Anolis sagrei: one gene and its partners. The protein of the gene in region 4 interacts with the protein of the main gene of each other region in a pairwise test. Links are inferred from orthologs where the notes say so. Each region holds a gene or a part of one and is shown on either strand. Other genes may lie near its edges.

Region 1 (7,508 bases), on a different chromosome or scaffold from region 4:
AAGTGCAGTGCTTCAAGGTCAGTCAGAGGAGCCAGAAACTGCAACATTAGATAAGGAGTAGGGCAAAGAGCTAAGTGATACTGGAGGTCCTCAGGAGAAACACCTGGAGTTATAGAGATCAACAAAAGTCTTAGTTTACAGATTAGAGCGGAAAATAGGCAGCGCTGGTCAGAGCGTTTATGTGGGAAAGTTTGGGAGAGAATTAATGGGAAAAGAAATGACTTCATGGGTGCCTATTAATTAGCAAGTTGTTTACTTAAGGGACCATAGTGTTCAAGTGAGAAGCTAGGCTTGAGTTCTTTGGTTCTTTTTTCACATCAAGCCTTGGTTTTGGATTGAAGTATCCTGGAAGTGTTCTATGCTCTTGTTTTTGTATTCCTGCTCAAGTTTTACTAAGGATACCTTTTGCTTGTGGACTTATGCTGTAATTATAATTTTTTGGCAATTCCTGGATTGTGTTACCTTGGGATCGACATGAGACATTTGGGAGAAAAGTAGGATCAAAATAAAATAAAATAAAACACCGACCTGACGCCATTTGGTCTCTTCCTCAAATTCTGCACTTCTTTGGCTTCCTCCAGTTTCAACCTGAGAAGAGAGAGAGAAAAACAAAGGCTAGATTCAATCCTTTCTGCCAGAATTTCAAACGGAACGAAGCCTCTCTCTTCTTCAGGTCGATCCAGCCAAGGCTAAACTATGAATTTTAAATTGTATCCTCCCAACCCTGCTATATGCCTGCGAAACGTGGACTGTCTACAGACGTCAAACTCAACTTTTGGAATGATTCCATCAGCGTTGCCTCCGGAAAATCCTGCAAATCTCTTGGGAAGAGAGGCAGGAAAATGTCAGCATGCTGGAAGAAGCAAAGACCACCAGCATTGAAGCAATGGTCCTCTGCCATCAACTCTGCTGGACTGAATGCAACGTTAGTCTGAATGCCCAAAGATCACCATCACCCAAAGAAGTTACTATTCTTTGAACTCAAGAATGGGAAACATAATGCTGGTGGACAGCAAAAGAGATTGAAAAAGGGACTTAAAGCCAACCTTAAAAACTGTGGCAGAGACACAGAAGCCCTGGCCCTTGAGCGCTCTAGCTAGAGGTCAGCTGTGACCAGCAGTGCTGTGGAATTCGAAGAGGCATGAATTGAAGGCGAAAGGGAGAAATGTGCCATGATGAAGGCGCGTCAAGCCAACCCTGACCGGGACCGCCTTCCACCTGGAAACCGATGCTCTCACTGTGGAAGAACATGCGGGCCAAAGGCACTTACAGACCCACTGCCAAGACACTGCACTTGGAGGGCCATCATCCTCGGGTTATGAGGCAGAGGTTGAAAGACGTGTTCATGGCGTCTGCTGCTATGTCCTTTTGAGGGAGGGATTTATTATTATTATATCATATTACTATATGTAATGTATGTATGTATTATGTGTATGTATGTGGATATATGTGTATGTACGTATATGTATAGATAGAATAGAATAAAGCAAAGAATAGAATGTGTAGATAATTATTCTGTATGTATTATGTGTATGTATGTGTACGTGTATATATGTCTATGTATGTGTATATGTGCATATATATGTATGTGTATAGATAGAACAAAATAGAATACATAGATTCTTCTGTATTTATTATGTGTATGTATGTGTACATGTATATATGTCTATGTATGTGTATATGTGCATATATATCTATGTGTATAGATAGAACAAAATAGAATACATAGATTCTTCTGTATTTATTATGTGTATGTATGTGTACATGTATATATGTCTATGTATGTGTATATGTGCATATATATGTATGTGTATAGATAGAAAAAAATAGAATACATAGATTCTTCTGTATTTATTATGTGTATGTATGTATATATATATATGTGTGTGTATAGAAAGAATATAGAACGTATAGATAAGATTATTCTGTATGTATGCAATAAAACAGCAATAGGAAAGATGTCCAGGCCAATTAGATTTTACACGGATGACTAGGACGGTTTTAAATGGTGTATTTTAATATTGAGATAATTTTTTAATGTTTATGTGTGTGAATTTGTGTCCCGGCATGGAATGTTTGTTGTGTATATGCTGTGCTCCGCCCTTAGTCCCTTATATATTCCCCGAAAGGGTGAGAAGGGTGGAATACAAATGTTTTAAATAAATAAATGTATATGTATGCATGTGCATAGATAGAATATATAATAGAATGTGTAGATTATTCTGTATGTATTATGTTTATATGAATGTATATATGTTTATGTGTGTATAGAATGTGTAGATAGATTATTCTGTATGTGTACGTGTATATACGTGTATAGACAAAAAGAATATAGAATATAAAGTGTAGATTATTCTGTGTGCATTGTGTCTATATGTGTATGTATGTATATGTGTTTAGATAGAATATAGAATATGTAGATAGATTATTTGGTATGTATTTTGCGTATGAATGTATATATATCTGTGTGTGTATGAATGTGTATAGATAGAAGATAATATAGAATAGAATGTGTAGATTATTACTCTATTTCTCCTTGCAAAAAAGCGGGGGGGGGGATCATTGTATTTAATGGCATTCGAACTGCCCTGGCGACCCGCGATAGCGCTTGGGAGTTGTAGTTCTAGGGAGGCGACAGTCCCTTTAAAGCAGGGCGGGCCAATCCTTTGCGGAACTACCACTCCCATGAGCCTTCGCGGGCCCAAAATGGCGCCGAATGCTCTTCGCCACTGGAAATGGGCCTGAAGGCCGTTCACAACACCAGAAATGGAGGGGAAATACTGACCGGACTTCCCGGGTGAGGTGCTGGTCTTCCTCATCTTCCTCCTCCTCGGAATCCGCTTTCCTCCGGCGGAAACACTTCCCCGCCGGCATTGCGGAAGACAGCAATGTCCGCGGCCCCCTCCGAAGGCCCCCTCCTCGGCCTCAACCTGAAGGAAAGCGCTTTCTGACGGGCGGGAGCGTCGCGTGCAGGTGACGTCGACAACGTGCGCCGAAGCCAGTTCCGCCCTGGCTGAAGTGAGGGCAAAACAAGGATGCAGCCATTGGGCAAAACAAGCCTTTGGGGTGAATATAGAGAAGCTAGTCAGATTTTGAATACAATGCAATAAGGGTCTAAAATGCCTAAAGAAACACAGAAGCATCTGGATAATTTAAAAACTAATTGTTACTTTGGGATTTCATCTGCATTTGCATACTGTGCATACTTAATTAGATATCTTGCAGGTAGTCCCAAGCCTAGGTGCGAAATTCCAATAGGTTTCCTTACATACACAAAAATGTGAAATATCGATTGTCATGGATTTGGGGATTTCACCTACATTTGCATAAACATATCCTGTATTTGAATAATATGCATACTTAATTAGATATCTTACAGGTGGTCCCAAGCCTAGATGCGAAATTCCAATATGTTTCCTTAAGTGCACAAAAGTGTGAAATTTCGATCGTCATGGATTTGGGGATTTCAGGATTTCTCCCTCTATTTCCCAGTTGTCAATAATCTTGGGTTTTTTTATGTTTAGCTGCAACCCGGCTTTTGCGCTTTCTTCTTTCACCTTGATTAGAAGGCTCCTCAGCTCCTCCTCGCTTTCGGCCATCAGAGTGGTGTCATCTGCATATCTGGGGTTGTTAATGTTTCTTCCAGCCATTTTCACCCCAGCTTTGCATTCATCAAGCCCCGCACATCCTCGCATGATGTGTTCTGCATACACGTTAAAAAGGTTGGGGGAGAGTCTGCAGCCTTGTACGCCTTTCCCAATCTTGAACCTGTCTCCTGTTCCGTGGTCAGTTCTGACTGTTGCTACTTGGTCCTTGGTCAGATTCCTCAGGAGAGAGGGAAGGGGGCTTGGGATGCCCATCCCACCAAGAACTTGCCACCATTTATGATGATCCACACAGTCAAAGGCTTTAGAATAGTCAATGAAGCAGAAGTGGATGTTTTTCTGACACTCCCTGCCTTTCTCCATTCTCCAGCATCCGGATATTGGCAATCTGGTCTCTCGTTCCTCTGCCTTTTCTAAACCCAGCTTGAACATCTGGCAACTCTCGCTCCATGTATTGCTGGAGTCTTCCTTGCAGGATCTTGAGCATTATTATTATTATTATTATTATTATTATTATGTCAATCTTAGACCATGCAGTTCATTTAATAGATAAATAATATTATCCTATTTTCCTACCTTTTTTCTCCCATACAGCCATTGTTGTTGTTGTTGTTGTTGTGGTTGTGTCCAATTGAGAGACCATGAAGTCCAGACTCAGAGAAAAGCAGCCTGAATTTGTTTTTCCCGCCCCTTTTCCATTGGCGCCTTCCCATTGGTCCGTTCAACCTGTGTTTTGGACTTCATTTCCCAGAATTCCTATCCATTGAACAAGCTGTCAAGGCCTTCTGGGAAATGGAGTCCAGAACGCTTGAAGCCGCTTTCTCATTGTGATTCCGTCCATTGGCGTCGCGCCAAGCCGCTTGGGACTTCATTTCCCAGAATTCCCAGCCATTGAAGAAGCCGGCGAGGGTTTCTGGGAGTTGGAGTCCGGAACGTTTTGAGGGCTGAGGTTGGAGCGCCGCCACAGAGGGTTCTTCTCCTCCGCCGGCGTTCTCTTCGCCGCCTCCGGCCTTCTCTTGTCTCGGGCTTCCGAGCGGCCGCCCTTCGCGGGAGGGAAGGGCGGAGGAAGGCTATTGCTGGGCCTCAGGCCTGGGAAGCGAACCGAGGCCTAGCCGGGCGCCTAAGCACCGGCCTCGCGTAGAACGCCGCCCCGGGAAAGAGGCGCCCTCCCGGGAAGGGCCCCTCAGGTATTTTGGGGGGGGGGGGGGTTTCTACACTTATAGATTTATTTGTATTGTCTATTATATTGTGTATATCTATATATATCATTTGTTTTGCTTAATGTATTGCCTGTAGTTCATATATATGTTTGTATGTGTATTCTATACATATATATGTGTGTGTGTATTAACACAAATAAAAGTGAACAGCATATCTATATCTATATATATAAACTGCATGCAATATATTCATTCCAAATATATAAGCTGTGTGTATATATATGTTTGTGTGTGTATTCTATACATATATGTGTGTTTGTGTGTTAACACAAAGTGAACAGCATGTGTGTGTGTATGTGTATGCACACACACATACACACATATAAACTGCATGTAATGTATTCATTCCAAATATATAAGCTGTATATATATATGTGTGTGTGTTTGTTTGTTAACACAATAAAAGTGAACAGCATATATATATATATGTAATATATTCATTCCAAATATATAAGCTGTGTGTATTCTACACATATGTGTGTAAACACAAATAAGAAAACAGCATATATAAATATATATAAACTGCATGCAATATATTCATTCCAAATATATAAGCTCTCTCTCAGTGTGTATTCTATACATACATATCTATATGTGTCTGTGCTATTTATTTTTGTTTGTGCTGACAAATATATATATATATATATTCCAAATATATAAGCTGTATATATGTGTGTATATATATATATAGAGAGAGAGAGAGCACTTATATATTTGGAATTAATATATTATATGTACTTTATATATACATATATATGCTGTTCACTTATTTGTGTTTACACACATATGTATAGAATACACACAGCTTATATATTTGGAATGAATATATTGAATGCTATATATATATATATATATATATATATGAATATATGCTGTTCACGTTTATTTGTGTTAATACACACACATATAATATATTGTATATACATATAATATTTATAATATTATAATGTAATACAATAAAGCTACTAATAATACAATAGTATAATTATATATTTTATATTAAATGTAACATTACTAATAATATTACAATATAATGGTGTAGTACAATATAGGAATATATAATACTGACATTGTACTATGCTGATAATATAATATATTGTATGTATATATATCTTGTAAGCCGCTCTGAGTCCGCTTTGGGGTGAGAAGGGCGGCATATAAATGTCATAAATAAATAAATAAATATTGTTTGTACTAACATATTAGTACAATATAGTAATATATAACTGACATTGTACTATGCTAATAATATAATATATTGTATGTATGTATATCTTGTAAGCCGCTCTGAGTCCGCTTCGGGGTGAGAAGGGCGGCATATAAATGTAATAAATAAATAAATAAATAAATATTGTTTGTACTAACATATTGTATGCAATATATATAGCGCATGCACACATACACACTTATGTTTAACAACTTGCGCCACTGGAGGCTCCATATATATATATATATATATATATTTACGACATTTATATGCCGCCCTTCTCACCCGGAAGGGGACTCAGAGCAGCTTACAAGTTATATATACATACAATATATTTCATTATTACCATAGCAGAATATCAGTATTAAATATTGCTATATTGTACTATACCATTATATTGTAATATTATTAGTAATGTTACATGTAATATAAAATATATAATTATAATATCGTATTATTAGTATTATATTGTATTACATTATAACATTATAAATATTATATATATACACAATATGTTATATTATATTATATTATATTATTAGCCCAGTGCAGGAGACACAATTATTATTAGTATTATTATTACTACTATTATTTATTTATTCATGATATTTATATGCCGCCCTTCTCACCCCAAAGGGGACTCAGAGCGGCTTACAAGATATATATACATACAATATATTTCATTATTACCATAGCACAATATCAGTATTAAATATTGCTATATTGTACTATACCATTATATTGTAATATTATTAGTAATGTTACATGTAATATAAAATATATAATTAAGGGGACTCAGAGCAGCTTACAAGATATATATACATACAATATATTATATTATTAGCATAGTACAATATCAGTATTATATATTACTATATCAATATTATCTATATATATATAGTCGTGTTTATAATATCTAACCATAAATTGAAAGCAGTTTTTATGTGTGTATGTATATATATGTATGTGTGTGTGTTCTCTCTCTCTCTATCTATATATATATACACACACACACAAGACTCTTAATATTGGGAAGATGGTGGCACAAGGAGAAATGGGAAGCCAAGGGCAGAAAGGAGAGTGGCAGGGATGCTTCTGTGAGGAAAAATGATGAATAATGGCATGTTCATTTATTGGGAGGAACAATCAGCTGTTCAGTGTCACGTGACCGCTTGGAGGTTTTATTTCTGGCAGGAGGCAGGAAAATAATCGGAATCTATTCCCTACCTGAAGCTGTGCTGCGGCCTGAGATTTGCATGCTCATAGTAAGATGAAGCTCCTGATATAGAACGGATCCCCTCCCCAATTAAAAAAATATATTTTTCAAACCATGGATGGCTGAATTTGTGCTTGGGACACAGTATGGTGGGGGGGGGGGGGGGAGCATTGATTTGAGGAGTAGAATTGAATTAGCTGGGAGAGGAAATACCTTGGATGTGAATTAGGTTTGGCTTAAGAGTGTATTTAGTCATCAGT
Region 2 (7,373 bases), on a different chromosome or scaffold from region 4:
TATGGGAGTTGCAATCCAATAATTATTTGCATTTACAAGTTGCCCAGCCTTGACCTACAGGTTAGATTTGATGGGCAAGGTAAGACAGGCAAAGCAATCAGGATAATGGCACAGACAAGACTTTAGCAGCACTGGAAGCACACCTAAGTAAAGATTAAGATGGTTCAGAAAAAGCTTTGAACAAGCATGAATTATAGCCACAAAACAAGACAGATACTGAAATGGGGTTTTGGTAATCAGAGGGTAAGACTTCCTTCTTCTGCACAGCTAGAATTAGCAATCTTTGCCCACAAAGACTTCCTTTACTGGAAAGTAGTCCTCTAGCAATTCAGAGTTCCTCTAACTATAATGCCTTTGTGGTTTTTCCTCAGTCTCTCTTGAGAATGAAATGTTTTTAAATAGGAATAATATTTGCCATGGTAACATAAAGAGAACAGAAGCCTTGTCCTAGTTTTTTTTTTCCTGTCAGGAGCGACTTGAGAAACTGAAAATCGCTTCTGGTGTGAGAGAATTGGCCGTCTGTAAAGATGTTGCCCAGGGGACACCTGGATGTTTTAATGTTTTACCATCCTTGTGGGAGACTTCTCTCGTGTCCCCACAGGTGGAGCTGGAGCTGACACAGGGACCTCAACCTGCTCTCTGGATTCGAACCGCTGACTTGTCGGTCAGCAGTCATGCTGACACAAAGGTTTAACCCATTGCGCCACCAGGGGCTCCTCTTGTCCTAGGTGAAATCTAGCAAACATATACATGCCTCATTGTTGCTCCATCTGGTCCCTAATTCCTGCACCTATTTTCCTTGAAAATACTTATAGGTTCTGTGAACAAACCCACATAACTCCCAATCAGGGTTGACTATTCTTATTAAATGCATTGTATTAAAATTAATGTACCTGTAGTATATGGCCTGATCACCGGCAATACAGACAAGGACCAAATATGATAGACTTAGTTATTTGCAAATGATTTTTGTTTAAGACCTTGGTCCTTGATGACTATATCATTCTTACAGCTACTCTATTAGGAAGGGACATAGGAAGAACTAACTTACTCCATGCTAATAAATTCTCTTGCTTTTCTAACCCCAAATCAAGTTTTATACTCATACTCATAAAATTTGGAGCAAAACATCAAAGAAGCACAGGTGTTATTTCAAAAACCGTCATCAGATAGAGCACTGTGATAATGAATTTTGAATTTATCAAATGTATTGTTGTTTAAGCTTTGTGTTTTTTTATTTTTATGTATTTTGAGTCAGTACTGTATTATATCTGAACGGCATTAAATTGTTGCCTAGCGTTAGATGCTCAATGAGGGGGAAAGGCGGGAAATAAAACAAAGTAAATAAATAAATGAAATAAATTTCAGGTTCATTTGTTATATAAGAGGCTTTGTACATATTTGTCTCATGTACATATTTGTCTTGAAGTTAAAACAGGAATGGAAAATGTGTAGTGTGGGTTTCATTTTCAGTTCCCAGACCTTGCTTCCCAGAAAAGCAATTTCATTTTGAAAGAAGATGCATACCTTGTTATAAAAGAAAAAGCCTAATGTTGAGATGACTACACCTTGATGTAAATGGGGAAAATGCCCCCCCCCCACCCCCCGCATAAGATGTGACAGTATTACCAAGGGACCTATGGCACTAGAGATTTTAGGATAGATTAGTAGAATATTGTCAATTCCTAAGCAAATAAATAAATACTTACCTTTTATCTTTAGCAGTAGCCCAGGGACATCCTGACCTGAGCTTTCAGTGACCTGGGCAGCCAGTGACAATATTCTGGGATCCACAGGTAATGGCTTCATTTCATAGGACAGCTGTATTTTAATAAGAGAAAGGAGGACAAAACCAGCAAGATATTTGCCTTCGGTTGGAGAAGAGTGGATTAGATGATGTGTCTAATAAAATTAACACCAGATATGTTCTGAAGGCAAATGTCATTAAGAATCTCACAAATTCTGTTTTCTTAAAGATACTTTCATCTTTTTACCTTTATAATATTGGTGAGCCGGGGGAGTTGTCCCACTCGCAGCTACAGTTGAAAATATACTTTTATGGCAGATTCATTCCCTAGCATTTTCAGTTTAATGGGTTCGCATAAAAGATGCAGAAGTTTAAGATCAGCTGTCAGTCAGAACAAAGAGACCTAGATTTGACTGTCAGTAAATCATTTCCAGATAATTTCATATACTGTGATTCACCAGGTATCATTTATAGAATTATCATCAGATAATTGCATGCCTCCAAAACTGAAACAAATAGCTTTTTATAACTACAAGAATATTTTGTCATGTCAATTTATTATTTTAATGTTATAACCATAACTATTTCAACACATGAGAGCAACCCTTCCTTCCCCACCAGTTCGACTCTGCAAATAGATATGCCAAATGTAAGTATGAACTCCTTGTATGCTAAACCACCTGCCCTATTTGGGCTTTCTTATGCCCCTTCAACACAGCTCAATAAAATCCCACATTATTTGCTTTGAACTGGGATATATGGCAGTGTGGACTCAGATAACACAGTTCAAAACAGATATTGTGGGGTTTTCAGTCTTGATATTCTGGGTTATATGGCTGTGTGGAAGGGCCACCAAATTAACAGTTATGGGGAAAGCGGGGTTGGACTACAAGGAGTGTTGAGGGCAGAAGTACTAAAGATGTTTCTCAGAGCCCTTCCACACAGTCACATAACCCAGGATATCATGGCAAAAAATCCCACAGCATTGGCTTTGAACTGAGTTATCTGAGTCCACACTGCCATTTATCCCACTTCAAAGCAAATAATGTGGGATTTTATTCAACTGTTTGGAAGGGGCCTCAGTTAACAAAGCCTCTGTTGAAGATGCCCCTTATTGGCAGTCTTTTTAATTCGCATTCACCTCGCTTTTTTCTCATTATCCTGTCTAGCTGGAAAGGTTGTTTAGCTGCATCAGCACTGGAAGGCTCTTAATGATATACTGGAGAATGACACACATTTTCAGTGTCAGGTTACAACAAAATATCAGAAATACATATAATAAAGTGATAGCGGCGAAAGTATGATAGCTGGGACACAATGCCAAGACAGCACAACGAGTGAGAGACACAGCTGTGACAGAGTCGTGGCAAAATAGTTTGCCAGAAAGGGGGGGGGGGGGGAGGTCAACAAATAGCCAAGCATACTACTTAAGGCTATCCGGATATCGTATGCAAGCACGTTCAAATATGTAACGTCTTCGCTTCTCTAACTGACCCTCGTCACGCAACCAGAATTGGGTCCCAGCTATCATACTTTTGCCGTGATAGCTTGGAAAAAGCTGGATTCTATACTCCATGGGATTATTATAACTGTTTGTGCCTACCTACAGCAGGCAAGGGAAACAGCAGGCCCCAGAATCCCATACTGAGCATTTGAAAACAATGCAACAGAGACAACGGGGAAGCAGATAAGATAAGTTAGGTTAACACCAACATGCTAGCGCAAAAATAGATATGGAAATTTGATAAGGAGTAGAGATTGGTAAAAGAAAAAGCCATCTCTGGATGCATTTTGCTCATAATAAGGGTGGCCTGGAGGCCTCTCCTTCACAAGGGGTGCATCTACACTGTAGAATTAATGCAGTTTGATCCAATTGAACTGCTATGGCGCAATACTATGGAATCCTGGGAGTTTTCGTTTGACAAGGTCTTTCAAGAGCGCTGGGGCCTCACCAGGCTGCAATTCGCGGGATTCATTCCACAGCATTGAGCCGCTGCACCTAAAGTGGTGTCAAACTGCATTAACCTTGAAGGAGCTGGGAGCTGGGGGTGGTAACGGCCGACAGGGAGCTCTGGCGTAGGCTGGTCCATGAGGTCACGAAGAGTCGGAGACGACTGAACGAATGAACAACAACAATAGATGCAGAACACTAATAAAGACCGTTGAAGCCGCACTCCTTTAGAAGACCTGGAGAACAACGTTTCTTCTCAAGTTATCTTCAGGTATCAAGGCATTCTTGATCCACTTCTCAACCGCTTCCGCTCCCGACCGGAAACACTAGTGAGGTTTCCCTACCAACGGCCAGTTACCATGGTGAGGGCACAAGGAGCCCACCAATCAGCAGCGCCGCCATCCTCGGAGCGAGACGCCACTGCCCGTCGCCCCGCCCTAAACCACCCTAATTTGCATAAACAGCATTCTCTCGCGCTCCGGGAGTTTCAACCTTTCTTCATTCAGCGACAGTGGCAGTGTCGCTAACCAATCAAAAAAGCCACAGTTCTCTTGCGTCACGCTTGTCCCCAGAACGGGGCGGGACGTATCCAGGTGGGCGTGGTGTCGGCGCAGTCGCCCAATGAAAGGAAGGCAGGAGGGGAAGGGGGCGTGGCCTTTGTGAGCTGTGTGGCTTGGCTGAGGCGGGGCGGGCAGTTGTGGCAGCGCTAGGCAGCGCATCTCTTCGAGAGTGACCAGAGCGCAGGACTGCGTGTGGCGGGGGGATGAACGGGGCGGCCCCGCCGCTCTTCGACTGTAAGGAGCGCATCCTTCGGCTGGGCCAGAGCTTCGAGAGGCAGCCGCGCTGTGCCTTCCACACCGTCCGCTGTGAGTGAGGCTGGACCGGCGTTCAAGCTGCCAGGAGGGTCTGGGACTTCATTTCCCAGAAGCCTTTGCCACCTTTTCCGACGGCCAGGAATTCTGGGATCTGAAGTCCAGAAGGGCTGGAATGTTCAGAATTCTTTGATCACAGTGATGCTGGACTTCAACTCCCAGAAGCCTTAGCTACCTTGGTCAATGATGAGGGATTCTGGGAGTTGAAGTCCAAAGCACCTGGCTGGCCAGAGCTTGGGAAACAGTGTAGATTTCCCTGGGTTGTCACCATACTCCAAATCCTAGGGTTCTATAGGATGGAACATTAGCAGTCGAAGTGGTGTTAAACTGCTATAATTCTGCAATCTGGATTGAGTGAGGGTGAGAAGCAGAAGGTAAAAGAAAGGACTGTCGAGCAAAGCGCTGGATCTTCGGATTTCAATGGGGAGGAGAGTTCAGAAGATTTTGGGAGAGGAGGAACCTTGAGCTATTTAACATAATCAGTATGCAAAGGGATCTTGTGTCACCTTTGAGACTGATTGGGAGAAATAAATTGTAAGCATAAACTTTTGTAGTCACCTGTTGCATGGAGTAGAGTGACTTTTATGAGCAGACAATGTGAAGAGCTGGGTTGCTGTGAGTTTTCTGGGCTGTATTGTCATGTTCCAGAAGCAGTCTCTCCTGGCGTTTCACCCACATCAATGGCAGGCATCCTCTGAGGTTGTGAGGTCTGCTTGAAACTAGGCAAGTGGGGTTTATATATCTGTGGAATGCCCAGGGTGTCTGTCTGAGGCAAGTGTGAAAGCTGCAGTTGATCAGCATTGAATAGCCTTGCAGCTTCAAAGCTTGGCTGCTTCCTGCCTGGGGGAATCCTTTGTTCGGAGATGATTAGCTGGCCCTGATAGTTTCTTGTGTGAAGAACCATAGAAATGCAAAACTTGTGGCATGTTGATGAAGTGACAAGTTCGGTTTTTATAACAGCCATTATTCGGAGATGTTAGCTGGGGACACTGGTGCCAAAAATAAAGCGTGAGACTTATGACTAGATCCAAGTGTGAATCCCAACTATACATTGGTATCTTTTTCAAAGCAGGGAAGTGGAGCCTCATCATTTGGAAGTTTTTAAGCAGAAGTTAGATGGCCATCTGTCAGGGGTGCTTGGATTGTGTGTTCTTGCATGGCAGGATGGGGTTGAATTGGATGGCCCATGTGCTCTCTTCCAATTCTATGATTCTATAAGAAAAGGGGTATATACATAATACACAAAAGAGAAAAAGCAGCATATACATAATAATAATAATAATAATAATAATAATAATCAACATCTTCATAATTGGTGGCACTTGCATAAATATTAACCAAATTCACATTCATTAAAAGGATATTGCTGAACTTATAGTTGGGTCTAGAGCAGGCATGGGCAAACTTGGGCCCTCTGGGTGTTTTGGACTTCAACTCCCACAATTCCTGACAGCCTACCGGCCAAAGTTTACCTATGACTACTCTAGAGTAACGGATGCTTGAGATAGGACGCACTTTGCATATTACTGGAATCCTGAGATCTGTTCAAAATCTTGCTTGCCCTGAGCTTTCTTCATTTTGAGAGTACCATTCATGACCCTGTTACAGTAGTCATTTTGTTCCTACTCCTTTTAAATAAGTGGAAGTCAAAAAATAATTGGTGGTCTGTTGAAAGTTTCTTTGAAATTTGTCAATTTATCATCTTTATTAATTCATCTAATACTGGTCTTTAAATGTGAAGAATATTGGCAATTTGTCCTTAAATGAGATATTTTGGGTACAAGGGGAACTATAGACTCTATCTGTGTTTAGTTAATTTATTTGAATGAGCAAAAATTGCTCTTTTTTGCAAAAGCAGTGAGAGTATGAGGAAGGAGTAAATTGATTTTGAAAAACTCCCATATTTGTAAGGAAAGTATGGAAAGTACAGTGGCATATCAGGTTAAACCGCTGGGCTGCTGAACTTGCTGGCAATTTGAATCTGGGGAGCTGGGTGAGCTCCCACTGTTAGCCCCAGCTTCTGCCAACCTAGCAATTCGAAAACATGCAAATGTAAGTAGAGCAATAGGTACCGCTTCGGCGGGAAGGTAACGGTGCTCCATGCAGTCATGCTGGCCACATGACCTTGGAGGTGTCTACAGACAACACCAGCCCTTCGGCTTAGAAATGGAAGTGAGCACCACCCCCCAGAGTCGGACACGACTAGACTTAATGTAAGGGGAAATCTTTATCTTTCCCTTAAGTATGGAGGAACTAGCCCCTGTGTTGATGTTAATCTCATTGAGAATATCACTTTCATCTGGTGGTTTCCATTATTTGCAATAATCTACAGTGCTTCTAAGAATCAAACACAAGGGAAAAGAGAACTTGGCAAACTTAAATGGGGAACTACCATTCTGTGGTTTTGGGAAAGGAACATTAGAGCCGTCGCAAACTAGGTTCCTGCGGGAGAAAACCTTGCTAGCAAGTCCCTGACGTCATGAGCCTGCGCCTCTCTCCCCGCCCCTTTCTCCGCCCCTTTCTCTTTGCCAGCGTGGTTTTTCCTTTGCTAGGGCAGCATTGCCCGCATTTTCTCTCAGTTGAATTCAGCCAACTGAGAGAAAATGCGGGCAATGCTGCCCTAGCAAAGGAAAAACCACGCTGGCAAAGAGAAAGGGGCGGAGAAAGGGGCGGGGCGAGAGGCAGAGTCTCGTGACGTCAGGGACATGCTAGCAAGGTTTTCTCCCGCAGGAACAGAGTTTGCGACGGGCCTTAGGATGCCCGGAAATTGCCAGATGTTAGCCAACAACAGGTTGTGCCACAT
Region 3 (7,570 bases), on a different chromosome or scaffold from region 4:
GCATGACTGTTGTCCTCCTAATAGAAAAATAATTTCTAAAACTGATTTATTCTACAACAGCTTTGGAACTACACTAGTTCCAACACACCTTTATACAGATAATGTAAAGATATGGTATCACAAACTTATCTAACTTTGAACCAAGGTATGTTGTACAACATTGCTGCAACAAAATATACGACCCATTGGCAATCTTGTGCCTTTAAGATGTAGTTAGAGTACTAGAACAATTTGTGCCTTGACTGCTGCTTGGGGATGATGGGAGGTGTAGTCGAAGGTGGTTAGGTTGGGAAAAAGGAAGAGAGACTGCTCAAACTCCTGGACTACTGTGCTCTTCCAAAATGCTAAATCAAGCTTTACAACATGCAGCTTTGATCAGACGTGACAGCTCCTTTATGACAGTAGGACTTCTGAATAAGAAGCTATTGACTGACAGACCTAAAATATATATGTGAAGGGTTGGTACACCGCATCTCATCACAGAAACTACAACTGCTGCATCATGGGATAAATGAAGCACATCTCTTTTGCCTGAAGCCCATGACATTCACATAAAATTGTACATCTCAGGATAAAACTACAACTGCCTACAGTCTTCCAGCAAAACAAAATACTTCTATAGTAGCTCTAACTTGAGATGCTTCCATGGAAATTATGGATCACTCAGGCTGTTGTTGGACTATAACTCCCAGCATTCCTTAACCCTGGAAACTGTGGTCTAAAAATACTTGGAAGTTTCTAGTGCTGAAAAAGGAGATTTTGCAACATTTCCACTTGTTTTTCCTCCATAATAGATCTTTTTCTAATAAGACAAAAAGGTAGCAGAAGCAACCAAAAATCATAGGATAGTTACATATAGAAGATGATGCATTTGGGCCCTCCAGGAAAGACGATCCAGAACTTGGAATGCTACTTTTGAAAAGTAATTTGCTAGTGCTGTTGGATTTTCTGTTTCTGTTTGTGTGTGTGTGTTTTTAAATAACTTGTGCCTAATTGTGATTCATTACTGGTTAGTTACATTTTATTTACTTTTAAAAATGTACTTTGTAATACTAATAAAAATAAAAAAAAATGACCATAAATCTCCTGAAATCAGTGTTTTGGATCAAAATAACACAGGTTATTCCAAAAAGCAACACTGTTACAGTTACTTTTAAGGTTACTTTTCCAAGTAAAGACACTGCCAACACCATGCTCTATAGGTAATGTAGTTATTTGGCACAAGTTACTTCCAAATTGGGCAGCAAAGCCATCTCTGGAAGATGAAACTCACTTCACGGCAGGATTTTAGTTCTTCAAACTCTCTTGTTGTCCAGTGTCTATCCTTGAAAAAATTTGTGCTGTTCCTTTTGTAAAACAAGTCCCAATTCCTTTGTGCTTCTTTCTCAAGCTTCTGTTGCTTGAAATCAGATACTACGACTGGATCTTTGGCCAGCCTTTCAGCTTCTTCGGGGCTAAGCGTTCTCATCTTATGTCCTCTTCTATGGAAACCTCCATTTTCGAGATCTGATATTACCCCATCAAGTTCAGCTGCAGATGACTCACTCTGGAGAAGCCTCAATTCGTTCATTTCGATTAAAGGAGGAAGCGCAGATTTGTAGTCACTGCATTCCTTAATCGCATACTTCTAGGAAAGAACTAGATTCAAGACGACAACAAGGGAAAGGTTACCATTTTATATCTTCCACTTGAGAACACAGCAAAATGATAACAGGATCTTCATGGTGATTCATTTCCCTATAATATCACTTTTTATAAATATAAATACATTTTTATGCAGAAGAAAAAAGCAAAAGAAGAAACAATGTCAACAGCAGATGTAAGCCTCCCACAATAGATTGGGATACAGTAACCTTCCCTAACCTGTTGTCTTCTAATATGTCAGATCTCAACCACAAAACTGTGCAATTCGGGGGAGAAAAATAAATTTAGGAAAACTGCTATACAGGCAGTCCCTAAGTTACGAACAAGATGGGTTCAGTCGGTTTTTTCTGAAGTTGAATGTACATGCATGTTGCAACAGGTAAATTTTAAAGTGTAAGTCCGGATTATTTATATATATGTGTGTGTGTGTGTGTGTGTATGTGTACACACACACACACGCTGGTGGGTCAAAATGTTTTGTCTCCTGTGTCATAAAATGTTATAAATGAACATATAACAGCAGAAGTTGCAACCAATCATAGCCTGAACTATCCTCTACTCAAAACTACAGTTCAACATAGTCACCATCAATTTGCACATATTTGTGGCATCATTTAACCCAGGCATCAAAACCATTTCAGAAAAATTCAGGGTTTTGCTTCATGACCCATGATTTTAAAGCTGTTTTAACATCATTCAACCCATTGAATCTGAAACAACGTAGGTTGTCTTTCACAGGAGCTCTGGCTTCTCTGTGTAGTCTGACACTGAATGACGTTAAAAAAGCTTTAAAATCATGGGTCACAAAGCAAAACCCTGAATTTTTCCAAAATGGTTTTGAAGCTCAAATGAAGCTTTCTCACCAATCCCTGTTTCCACAACAAGCCACATTTTCCAGAGGGACAGAAAATGAGGTGAAATCTTCTGAACAGAGGCCCCGTTCACACAGCTGAATAAAACCCCACATTTTCTGTGAAGTGGAATATATAGCAGTGTGGACTCAGATAGCCCAGTTCAAAGCAGATATTGTGGGATTTTCTGCCTTGATATTCTGGGCCATATGGCTGTGTGGAAGGGCCCAGAGACACAGGATGCAAAACAAACACCACTGGGGTGTCAACCCTTCCCTATGCGATCCAAAGCTTTTATATATGAAATATATATATGCAGGCAGTCCCCAAGTTGTGAGCAAGATAGGTTCTGTAGGTTTGTTCTTAAGTTGGATTTGTACTTTTTATCAAGTGTTACTCCAGCCATATATTTGTGTGTGTGTGTGTGTGTGGCTAGAGTTAGACCAGGCATAAGCATACTTCGGCCCTCCAGGTGTTTTGAACTTCCAACTCCCACAATTCCCAACATGTTAGGAATTGTGGAAGTTGAAGTCCAAAACACCCGGAGGGCCGAAGTTTGCCCATACCCGAGTTAGACTTTAAAAAGTATCTGTTCTGACTCAGGGCCCTTCCACACAGCCCTATATCCCAGAATATCAAGGCAGAAAATTCCACATTATCTGATTGTAGATTCAGGCCCCTTCCATACAGCTGAATAAAACCGCACATTATCTGCTTTGAACTGGAATATATGGCCGTGTGGATTCAGATTCCCCAGTCCAAAGCAGATATTGAGGGATTTTCTGCCTTCATATTCTGGGATATAGGGCTGTGTGGAAAGGTCCAATATCTGCTTTGAGCTGGGTTATCTGAGTCCACACTGTCATATAGTCCTTTGCAGAAGCATAGGAGAAGCTCGGCCTGTCATTAAACATTGAGAAAAACAAAGTGCTCTTCCAGCAGTTGACAGTCAGCCCCTCTCCAATGCCAGAAATACAGCTTAATAGTGTAACCTTGGCAGCTACCTCTCCACCAAAGTCAACATTGACACTAAAATACAACATCGCCTGAGCTCTGCAAGTGCAGCTTTTTTCCAAATGAAACACAGAGTGTTTGAGGACCAGGACATCCATAGGGATACCAAGGTGCTTGTTTATAAAGCTATAAAACCGCCGACGTTGTCCAGATGCCCGACCACCGTCTCCCAAAGTAGTTGCTCTACTCCGAACTCAAGAACGGAAAACAAAATGTTGGTGGGCAGGAAAAGAGATTTAAAGATGGGCTCAAAGCCAACCTTAAAAACTCTGGCATAGACACTGAGAACTGGAAAGCCCTGGCCCTTGAGCACTCCAGCTGGAGGTCAGATGTGACCAGCAGTGTTGTAGAATTTGAAGAGGTATGAATAGAGGGCAAAAGAGAGAAACGTGCCAAGAGAAAGGCGCATCATGCCAACCCATAGGGCTCCACAGTCACCTACGGACCTACCGCCAGGACACCGATCTTGGAAGACAATCCTACTAGGACAATGAGGGATCACCTAAGAAACTAACATAGTCCAGTTCAAAGCAGATAATGTGGGATTTTATTTAACTGTGTGGAAGGGGCCCTTGTTCAAAGAGGATATTGTGGGATTTTCTGCCTTGATATTCTGGGTTATAGGGCTGTGTGGAAGGGCCCTGAGTCCACACTCAGATATTGTGTGATTTTCTGCCTTGATATCCTGGGATATATTAATGTGTAGAAGGGGTCTTTGAAACAAATTCAACTTAAGAGCAAACCTACAAATCCCATCTTGTTGGTAGCTTGGAAACTGCCTGTAATTCTACAGCGGTGTCTCTTCTTTTGCCTTCCTAAAAGGCCTCAAGAGCTACAAAGCCGCCCCCACCAACACGCACCGCTCTCCTGAGGCGCTCTGTCCATGCTCAGAGGCGCCCTTGACTCATCCAGGCTCATCCTCCCTCTTCTTCTGTGGGATCTTCTTTCTCTCTCTTTCTGCGAGGCCTAAGCAGCCTGCTCGCCTTCCTGCCTCCTTGCCAAGCGGGGAACCCTTTCGCGGTGACACCAAGCCCGGAAGAGAAAGCGAAGGGAAGGGAAGGAGGGAAGGGAGGAAGAGAGGGAAGGAGGCAAACGGCGACCGGCATCGTCGTTGCGGCCTGCGGAGGCCATGAACGGCTCGGCGAACCCGCTGCTGGACAAGGAGGAGCACCCGCTGCAGCTGGGAGAGAGCTTCGAGCGGCACCCCAAGGCCTCCTTCCACACCATCCGCTGTGAGTGGGACCCGGTTTACTAGGCCGCGATGCGCACAGGCCTGTTTCCTTCGGCCTTTGATTTGGGACACAGGCGTTGGAGTGGCTCAGTGTTTGGGACTTCAAGCCCCTTTGGTTTGGTGGCATCTCCATTTGAGGGTTTGTTTTAAAGGGGGGGGGGATGTATAGAGTGTTCCCCAAAGTCACAATCAATAGAGGAAATGTAACTTTTGTTTACAAGGTACTCACTACCAACTCTTCTCTACCCTTCCTCGAAGCCTTCTCTGTCATTCATATCTATCTATCTATATCTAATATAAATAAAAATGTAATGTTCGTTTGTGGGATTAACAGAACTCAAAAACCAGTGGGCGAATTGACACCAAATTTGGACAACATACACCTAACAATCCAATGTATGTCCTTCACTCAATTTTTTTTGATTTTGTGATCTGGGAGTTGTAGTTCTTGGGATTTATAGTTCACCTACAATCAAAGAGCATTCTGAACTCCACCAATGATGGAATTGAACCAAACGTGGCATGCAGGACTCTCATGACCAACAGAAAACACTAGAAGGGTTTGGTGGGCACTGACCTTGAGTTTGGGAGTTGTAGTTCACCTACATTCAGAGACCACTGTGGACTCAAACAATGATGGATCTGGACCAAACTTGGCACAAATATTCTATATCTCCAAATATGAACACATTTGGGAGTTGTAGTTACTGGGATTTATAGTTCACCTACAATCGAGCATTCTGAACCCCACCAACAACAGAACTAGGGTAAACTTCCCACACAGAACCCCCATGACCAACAGAAAATACTATATATATAAACCCCTTTTCCTAGTTCCAACAGACCTCACTACCTCTGAGGATGCTTGCCATAGATGCAGGCGAAACGTCAGGAGAAAATGCCTTTAGAACATGGCCATATATTCCGAAAAAACCTACAACAACCCAGAAAATACTGTGGTTTTTGGTGACCCTTCTGACACCACCCTGGTGACACCCCCCCCCCCCCCGGTCTTGACTTCCCAGGTTGAGAAATGCTGCCTTAAGGCCATCCAGTCCAACTCCCTTCACCAGGGCAAGAAAACATAATCAAAGCCCTCCTGACAAAGAGCCATCCAGCCATTCACACACACATATATGTATAATGACAGATGCAGTATCAAAGATTTGAAAGGGACCCCTAAAGAAGGACAATGATATGTTGCATGTCCAGAGTAGGCAAACCAGACAATCTCCACATCAACACTGACAAAGAAACAACAAGAAATACTTTTAACCCACAAGCATAAAGGCATTACATATATTAGAAACCAACATTGTCTCATTACTTTATTTTCCAGATCACCAGACAGGGCCACAGCAACGCGTGGCAGGGGACCACTAGTACAATATATAATCTAAGGCAGGCCTGGGAAAACTTTGGCCCTCCAGGTGTTTGGGACTTCAACTCCCACAATTCCTAACAGTTGTTAGGCCCTCCAGGGAGTTGAAGTCCCAAACACCTGGAAGGCCAAAGTTTGCCCAGGTTTGATCTAAGGCCCCTTCCACACAGCTGTATATAATCCACATTGAACTGGATTATATGGCAGTGTGGACTCAGGGCCCTTCCAGACAGGCCCTGTATCCCAGGATCTGATCCCAGGGTTTCTGTTTTAAACTTGATTATATGAATACTCACTGCCCGATAATCTGGGATAATTCTCTACAAATTGCACTTTTCATTGCTATCTCATCCAGAGGTTTATCATTTTATGCCATACATTTGGCCCACCCATTGTGTTGGATTTTCTATTATGTTATATTGTATTATTTATTTTATTTGATTGGTTAATTTTTACTGTGATGTTATTTTGTTGTTTATATTTTATGTTGTTGTAGTGTTTTGCTGAGCTTGGCCTCATATAATCCGCTTTGAGTCCCCTTTGGGGTGATGGTGGTGAGATAGAAATAAAGTTTATTGTTGTTGTTGTTGTTAACAGAAAACCTGGGATCAGATCTTGGGATATAGGGCCTGTCTAGAAGGGCCCTCAGATAACCCAGTTCAAAGCAGATATTTTGGATTATCTGCCTTGATTTTCTGGGTTATATGGCTGTGATATAATACAATTTTCTCAATTTCTCCCTCTATGTATATAGAGACATTGGGGACACTACCTGGCTTGTAAAGAGTCTGCCTTGAGTTCCTATACTGTACTATTTATAATGGTTTTGTATTGTATTTGTATTTTTTATATTTTATTGCTGTGTTTTGTTGTATATTGATGTATTGCATTGTTGGGCTTGGCCTCATGTAAGCCGCCCCGAGTCCCCTTGGGGGAATGGTGGCAGGGTATAAATATTTTTAAAAAAATATATATCATTATTATTATTAATCTGTAATAAACAGAAAACCTGGGATCAGATCCAGGGATATAGTCCTACATTGCCATGTAAAAGACAGATTATCTGCTTTGAACTTGATTAGATGGCAGTGTAGGCTCATCTAATCCAGTTCAAAGCAGATAATGTGGATTATCTGCTTTGATAAGCTGGATTATATGGCAGTGTAGAAGGGGGCATAGTCTCTTCCATCATAAAATGGAGGACAGGGGGAATGTAGCAGCACCTTTGACTTTGGATTTTTTCTATCAAACAATTTCAAGCCATGAGTAGTTAGACCTATGGATGCAGTTGTGCAGAGGGCTGGCTGGTAACAGCCTTTTATTTTAGCATGAGCTTTCATGGACAGCAACCCACTTCTTTTTTTCGTTAAAGATGTTAACCTTTAAGTAAAGATATATAGAAAAAAGATAGAATCATAGAGTTGGAAGAGACCTCATGGGTCATCCTGC
Region 4 (6,900 bases):
AATTTCCACTATCTTGGCAGCCACCTCTCCACAAAAGTCAACATTGACACTGAAATTCAACACCGCCTGAGCTCTGCGAGTGCAGCCTTTTTCTGAATGAAGCAGAGAGTGTTCGAGTACCAGGACATCCGTAGGGATACCAAGGTGCTTGTTTATAAAGCTATTGTCCTCCTAACCCTGCTATATGCCTGTGAGATGTGGATTGTCTACAGACATCACATGCAACTCCTGGAACGATTCCATCAGCGGTGTCTCTGGAAAATCCTGCAAATCTCTTGGGAAGACCAGTGGATAATGTCAGCGTGCTGGAAGAAGCAAAGACCACCAGCATTGAAGCGATGGTCCTCCGCCATCAACTCCGCTGGACCAGCCATATTGTCCGGATGCCCGACCACCGTCTCCCAAAGCAGTTGCTCTACTCCGAACTCAAGAACGGAAAATGGAATGTTGGTGGCCGGGAAAAGAGATTTAAAGATGGGTTCAAAGCCAACCTTTAAAACTGTGGCATGGACACCGAGAACTGGGAAGCCCTGGCCCTTGAGCGCTCCAGCTGGAGGTCAGCTGTGACCAGCAGTGCTGTGGAGTTTGAAGAGGCACGAATGGAGGGCAAAAGAGAGAAACGTGCCAAGAGGAAGGCGCATCAAGCCAACCCCGACCGATACTGCCTTCCACCTGGAAGAAGAAGAAGATGCAGATCAAGAATTGGGCTTCAGAGTCACCTCCGGACCCACCGACAGAACACCGACCTTGGAAGACCATCATCCTTGGACTATGAGGGATCATCTAAATAAGTAAGTAAGGCAATGAAGGTACACAACAACAATCGTGACATGGCTGGGTGTGTCATTTCCATCTCTGACTGAGGCAGAAAAATATGCTTGGTCTGCCTTGACGTTGATGTTGAGGAATTTAGGAATAAATTAAGTGTAAATCTACTAGTCAGCTTGTTTAGCCTATCTCCTGACCTATCAAGTTAGGCATGTTTCATGCCCAACTCAATGCTATGAATATTTACTCATAAGAAAGTTATACGGCTTCCCAAGAGGGCCGGCCCTGGTTAGGTTTCTGGGATCGAAATCAGAAAAAGACAGGCAATAAACAAGACACATTGCAGCCAAAAACTCCAAATAAGACTTCTTTATGGCCGATGTTGAACTCATCTTAATCTTTTAAATCTCTCTTTGCAAAATTAAACTCCTTACGGGTTTTAATTGTCTGTAGTTGTGGCAATTTGTGTGCCTTAATTTCATTTTTGAGTAAACAATACAGCTTAAAAGTATGTATATATTTCCCTCTTGTCGCCATATCTAGTCACACAAGAATTTGGAATATTAAAAGCCACTTTTAAACTGAGGTGAGAAAACAGAATATATACAGGGAGGAGGGAGCAAGCTTGTTTTCTGCTTCCTTGGAGACTAGGACACGGAACAATGGCTTCAAACTACAAGAAAGGAGATTCCATCTGAACATGAGGAAGAACTTCCTGACTTTGAGAGCCGTTCAGCAGTGGAACTCTCTGCACCAGAGTGTGGTGGAGGCTCCTTCTTTGGAGGCTTTTAAACAGAGGCTGGATGGCCACCTGTCAGGGGTGCTTTGAATGCAATATTCCTGCTTCTTGGCAGGGGGTTGGACGGGATGGCCCATGAGGTCTCTTCCAACTCTATGATTCTTCAACTGTAAGACGCACCTCGATTTCAGTAACACCACCAGCAACAAAAATATATCTGATACACCCACGTCCTAAGATGCTTCCCATTTGTAGATATGTTTATACAGGCAGTCCCCAAGTTACAAACAAGATAGGTTCTGAAGGCTTGTTCTTAAGTTGAATTTGTTTGTAAGTGAGCACATTTTAAGTGCAACTCCAGCCAAATATAGAGCCCAAACTATAGCCCCCATGACTCCTTAGCATGGTGCCAGAGAAGTCAAAGTGGATTCATTCTACAGCAGAGATGCACCCCAAGGTTTTATTTTTCCATTGCTGAAAGCTTTGGTGTTCTAACACTTTTGTTTTGAAAGAAGGAATTTTGAGCAGGCAGCCACTGTAACGTGTACCTTTTGGGGCCAAATTACAAAGAGTGCACTTTTGTGCTGCTGTGCATTACAATAATTTATTTTGGTTTCAGGGTTTTGGAAATTGAGGTGCGCACTAGATTTGCTGGTGCAAAGTAAATGCAGGATGATTGTAAGCTGTCTAGTTTACAATCATCAATGTTCTGGGAATGATATATATCATTTAGTGTGTTCTATTTTGTCTTTTTCTTGAGATAGAAATATAGATATGGTGGAACCTCTACTTAAGAGCACCCCAACTTAAGAGTGTTTTGAGTTAAGAACCATAAATGGGCCGATGGTTTCACTCTGACATACAAGTAGCATTTTGAGTTAAGAGCTAGTGCCAAATACTGGGTTTTAAGGCTTCAAGGGAACAGCCTCTGTGCCTTGTGCCGCCGTGCTTCCTGCGCTTTTCTGCTTGTGATTGCGATCCCCTTTGCTCTTATCTGATTTGGACACAGAGCTCCCATGACCAACAGAAAATACTAGAAGGGTTTGGTGGGTATTGACCTTGGGTTTTAGAGTTGTAGTTCACCTACATCCAGAGAGCACTGATGCATCTGGACCAAACTTGGCACGAATACTCAATATGCCCAAATGTGGACACTGGTGGGGTTTGGGGAAAATAGACCTTGACATTTGGGAGTTGCAGTTGCTGGGATTTATAGTTCAGCATTCTGAACTCCACCAATGATAGAATTGGGCCAAACTTCCCACACAGAACCCCAATGACCACCAGAAAATACTGTGTCTTATCATTGTCTTTGGCGACCCCTTTGACACCACCTCGCGACCCCCCCAGGGGTCCCGACCCCCAGGTTGAGAAACACTGTCGTAGATGGAAAAAGGCCTGTTTGCTGGCAGCAGCGACCTGAGCCTCCATCGTCAGCTGCGAATCCAAAACGACACCTAGGCTCTTAACGGTAGGCGATGGAGATAGAGAAGGTAGGTAACGGATGGGTCGGACCTATCGGGTGGCCATGCCAGAGAATCTCAGTCTTTGCCGGGTTCACCTTCAGTCTGCTAGCATGTAGCCAGTTCGGCAGAGCCTCCAGGCATAAGGTGAAATTGTCAGGTATTGACGTTACTCCAGGCTCCAAGCGCAACAAGCTAAACATGCCCAACTCTTTAAGCCGCTCCTCATTGGGCTTGTTCTCCAGACCCTTGATCATTTTAGTCACCCTCCTCTAGGCATGTGAACGCACTACTTCGAATCCAAGTCTCCAGGGCAGTAGAAAACAAACCTGCTCCCTCTTCCTTATGGCATCAGTTTTTAACATCAGTAGAAATAGCTAATATTAACATAAATCGCTCGAGGGGATGTCAAGAAGCGGCCTGAGGTAACTCTAACTGAAAGGCCGTTCATGGCGAGAGAGAGGGCTGCTTCCTTCCTGCCTTGCTTGTACCGGGGATTGAGGCGCGCGACGCTGCCCTAGTGGGCAAAAAGGGCGCGAGGAAGCGGCTGAGGGGGCACGAGCCATGGCCTCCGTCAGGGCGCCGCACTCCTTCCCTCCCTCTCTTTCTCTCTCTCTCCCTCAGGTGGATGGGATGGAGGGCACAAAATGGCGCTGCTCCCTCCCCCTCCCAATGGCCCGGGCTCTGAGGCAACCCCACGCCCCCTGTCAGGGACAGACAGGGAGGGAGAGCCAGGCAGCGAGCGGTGTGCCCGCCCTCGCTATTAGCAGCCATGACACTCTGCTCTATCTCCCCCACTCTGTTTCCTCCTCCTCCCCCTTGGGGCCCACAGCCGCCGCTGCGTCCCCGGCCTGGCGTGGGCTGCCCAGCCGGCCTGGAGGTGGCAGTGGCGGCGGCGGCGGCCTTTGGGCCCAGCCTCCCGCCGCGGGGCGTGTGCCTCGGCTCTCCTCCTCCCCAGCAGGTGGCACCGGGCGCCCAGTCACCACCACCGCCGCCTCCTCCTCCTCCTCCCCATTGATTCGCCTCCCTCTTCCTCCCGCCCCCTTCCTCCCTTCCTTCCCTCTCTCTCCTTCAGAGGAGGAGGAGGCGGAGGGGACGGCAGCCCCTCTCCAAAGTTTGGAGCTGGATGCGGGCGACGCGGGGAGGCGAGGCGAGGGAAAGTCCGCCGCCAACTTGTCCCGCTTGGCCCTCCTTCCTCCTTCCTTTCTGCCCATTACAGAGACGGACCTTGGTCTCTCTCTGGCGGCTGGACCCTCCTTCCTCCTCTTTTCTCCTTCCTCCTCCTCGTCGCACTTGATTCCTCCTGCCTTTCTTCTTCCTCCTCCTCCTTCCTGCTCGCACTATGGAGTTTACTGAGAGGAAAAGAAGCAGGAAATCCCAAAGCTTTAAACTGATAAATCAAGGTAAGGAAAAAGGGGAAAAAAGGGGGGGAAGGGAGAAAGAGAGACTGGGAGAGAGGAAGGGAGGTCGTCGTCTGTGTGACATTTCCTTTTTGTCTCTGGGAAATAAAACAAGGAAGACTTCTAGATACAGAGAGTTTGGCAACCAGGATGTGTGACCCTTCTACACCTGAATAAAATCCCACAATATCTGCTTTTAACTGGGATATATGGCAGTGTGGACTCAGATAACCCAGTTCAAAGCAGATTTTGTGGGATTTTCTGCCTTGATATTCTGGGTGGAAGGGCCCTATGTGTCCTTCCTTTCAGTCTCATTAGGATTATTTTAACTATTTAATAATCTTGGAAGCGGTGTTTTTGCGTGTTTTTATTTATTCAGAATCGGCACTTTTTTCTCAGGGAGCCAAGACATCAAATGTGAAAGTTAGGTGGCACTTCCTGGTCAATGCAATTTTCAAGAAGAGGCGAATCAGGAAATCAGCCAGACAATGATATTTATGGCCCTTCCACACAGCCATATAACCCAGAATATCAAGGCAGATAATCCACAATATGTATTTATTTATTTACGACATTTCTATGCCGGCCTTCTCATCCCGAAGGGGACTCAAAGCAGCTTACAAGATATATATCCGTACAATATGTTATATTATTAGCCTAGTACAGTGATGGGCAACCTTTTGAGCTTGGTGTGTTAAAATCTGCCAAAAACCTGACCATAACTTGGGTGGAGTGTCAACTTCGAGAAAAAAAACCCCATAACTTTGCAATATTTATAGTTTAAATAAGAAAAATGTATATTCCATGCTGAGTTATGGAGTGAACAATGCTCAAACATGCAGATGTTAAATTTGTAGAGCCTTTTACAAATTTAAGGATGGAATTCAATTGGCCCTTATAAGGTGTACTTCTCTATATGCGGCCGCATGTGGCTGCGTGTCATGAAAAATAGCCATGCGTGTCAGTGCTGACACACGTGTCATAGGTTCACCATCACGGGCCTAGTACAATATCAGTATTAACTATGGAGCCCCCGGTGGCGCAGTGGGTTAAACCCCTGTGCCGACAGGACTGAAGACCGACAGGTCGCAGGTTCAAATCCGGGGAGAGGCGGATGAGCTCCCTCTATCAGCTCCAGCTCCTCATGCGAGGACATGAGAGAAGCCTCCCACAAGGATGATAAAAACATCAAATCATCCATGCGTCCCCTGGGCAACGTCCTTGCAGACAGCCAATTCTCTCACACCAGAAGCGACTTGCTCCTGACACGACAAAAAAAAGTACTAAATATTACTATATTGTACTATACCATTATATTGTAATATTATTAGTAATATTACATGTAATACCGTATATACTCGAGTATAAGCCGACCCAAATATAAGCCGAGGCACCTAATTTTACCACAAAAAACTGGGAAAACATATTGACTTGAGTATAAGCCAAAGGTGGGAAATACAGCAGCTACTGGTAAATTCCAAAATAAAAATAGATTCCAATACTATCTCATTAACTGAGGCATCAGTAGGTTAAATGTTGGGTTGTTGTAGGTTTTTTCGGGCTATATGGCCATGATCTAGAGCAGGGGATCCACAAACGTTTTACCAGAGGGCCAGGTCATAGTCCCTCAAACTGTTGGAGGGCCGGATTATAATTTGAAAAAAAATATATGAATGAATTCCTATGCAAAGTGCATGTATCTTATTTGTAGTGCAAAAACACTTTAGAACAATACAATAATTAAAATGAAAAACAATTTTAACAAATATAAACTTATTAGTATTTTATTGGGAAGTGTTGGCCTGCTTTTGGCTGATGAGGTAGGGTTGTTGTTGCTTTGTGCTTTCAAGTCGTTTCAGACTTAGGTTGACCCTGAGCGAGGGCCAGGTAAATGACCTTGGAGGGCCACATTCGGCGCCCGGGCCGTAGTTTGAGGACCCCTGTTCTAGAGGCATTCTCTCCTGACGTTTAGCCTGCATCTATGGTTAAATGTTTTTGAATATTTACATAAAACTGTAATTTAAGATAAGACTGTCCGACTCTGATTAAACCATGATACCAACCTTTTTCAGTGTAAATGTTTGCACATCCTTTCAGTAATAAAAGAGTAAAATAATAAATGTAATAATAATAGAGCAAAGTAATAGAAATGTAATAATAACAGTAATAATAGAGTAAGATAATAAATGCAATAATAACAGCAATAATAAAGTAAAATAAAAAATGTAATAATAATAGAGTAAAATAATAATAATAATAGAATTAAATAATAAATAATCTTGACTCGAGTATAAGCCGAATGGGACTTTTTCAGCCTAAAAAAGGGTTGAAAAACTAGGCTTATACTTGAGTATATACTTTATTTTATTTATTTTATTATTTATTTAATTATTTTATTTAGTACATTTCTATACCGCCCCTCTCAGCCTTTCGGCGACTCGAGGCGGTTTACAAGGCAAGAATTCAATGCCACCAAGGACACAATTGCAATATACAATATTAAAACATCAGCAACAATAAAATCAAACAT

Evidence for each region.
Region 1: the proteins of BEND7 (region 4) and USP20 interact in binary tests that used the Homo sapiens proteins (3 or more experiments, as listed by UniProt). The two-hybrid records come from large-scale screens. The link is inferred for Anolis sagrei from reciprocal best matches to the Homo sapiens genes BEND7 and USP20.
Region 2: the proteins of BEND7 (region 4) and EAF2 interact in binary tests that used the Homo sapiens proteins (3 or more experiments, as listed by UniProt). The two-hybrid records come from large-scale screens. The link is inferred for Anolis sagrei from reciprocal best matches to the Homo sapiens genes BEND7 and EAF2.
Region 3: the proteins of BEND7 (region 4) and EAF1 interact in binary tests that used the Homo sapiens proteins (3 or more experiments, as listed by UniProt). The two-hybrid records come from large-scale screens. The link is inferred for Anolis sagrei from reciprocal best matches to the Homo sapiens genes BEND7 and EAF1.

What each region holds. Positions count from the first base shown.
Region 1 is NC_090031.1:3,029,495-3,037,002, forward strand, and holds the start of USP20 (ubiquitin carboxyl-terminal hydrolase 20), read left to right. Parts: upstream 1-4,489; 5' UTR 4,490-4,792; intron 4,793-7,259; exon of another isoform or gene 7,260-7,297; intron 7,298-7,508. Other genes in the region: C11H9orf78 (splicing factor C9orf78 homolog), read right to left, coding at 529-588, 2,786-2,874.
Region 2 is NC_090021.1:222,037,362-222,044,734, reverse strand, and holds the start of EAF2 (ELL-associated factor 2), read left to right. Parts: upstream 1-4,356; 5' UTR 4,357-4,461; coding exon 4,462-4,564; intron 4,565-7,373. Other genes in the region: IQCB1 (IQ calmodulin-binding motif-containing protein 1), read right to left, coding at 1,710-1,821, 3,700-3,837. UniProt on the Homo sapiens protein: Acts as a transcriptional transactivator of TCEA1 elongation activity. Acts as a transcriptional transactivator of ELL and ELL2 elongation activities. Potent inducer of apoptosis in prostatic and non-prostatic cell lines.
Region 3 is NC_090026.1:80,126,777-80,134,346, forward strand, and holds the start of EAF1 (ELL-associated factor 1), read left to right. Parts: upstream 1-4,553; 5' UTR 4,554-4,638; coding exon 4,639-4,741; intron 4,742-7,570. Other genes in the region: tRNA N(3)-methylcytidine methyltransferase METTL6, read right to left, coding at 1,274-1,570. UniProt on the Homo sapiens protein: Acts as a transcriptional transactivator of ELL and ELL2 elongation activities.
Region 4 is NC_090025.1:92,913,288-92,920,187, reverse strand, and holds the start of BEND7 (BEN domain-containing protein 7), read left to right. Parts: upstream 1-3,893; 5' UTR 3,894-4,312; coding exon 4,313-4,373; intron 4,374-6,900.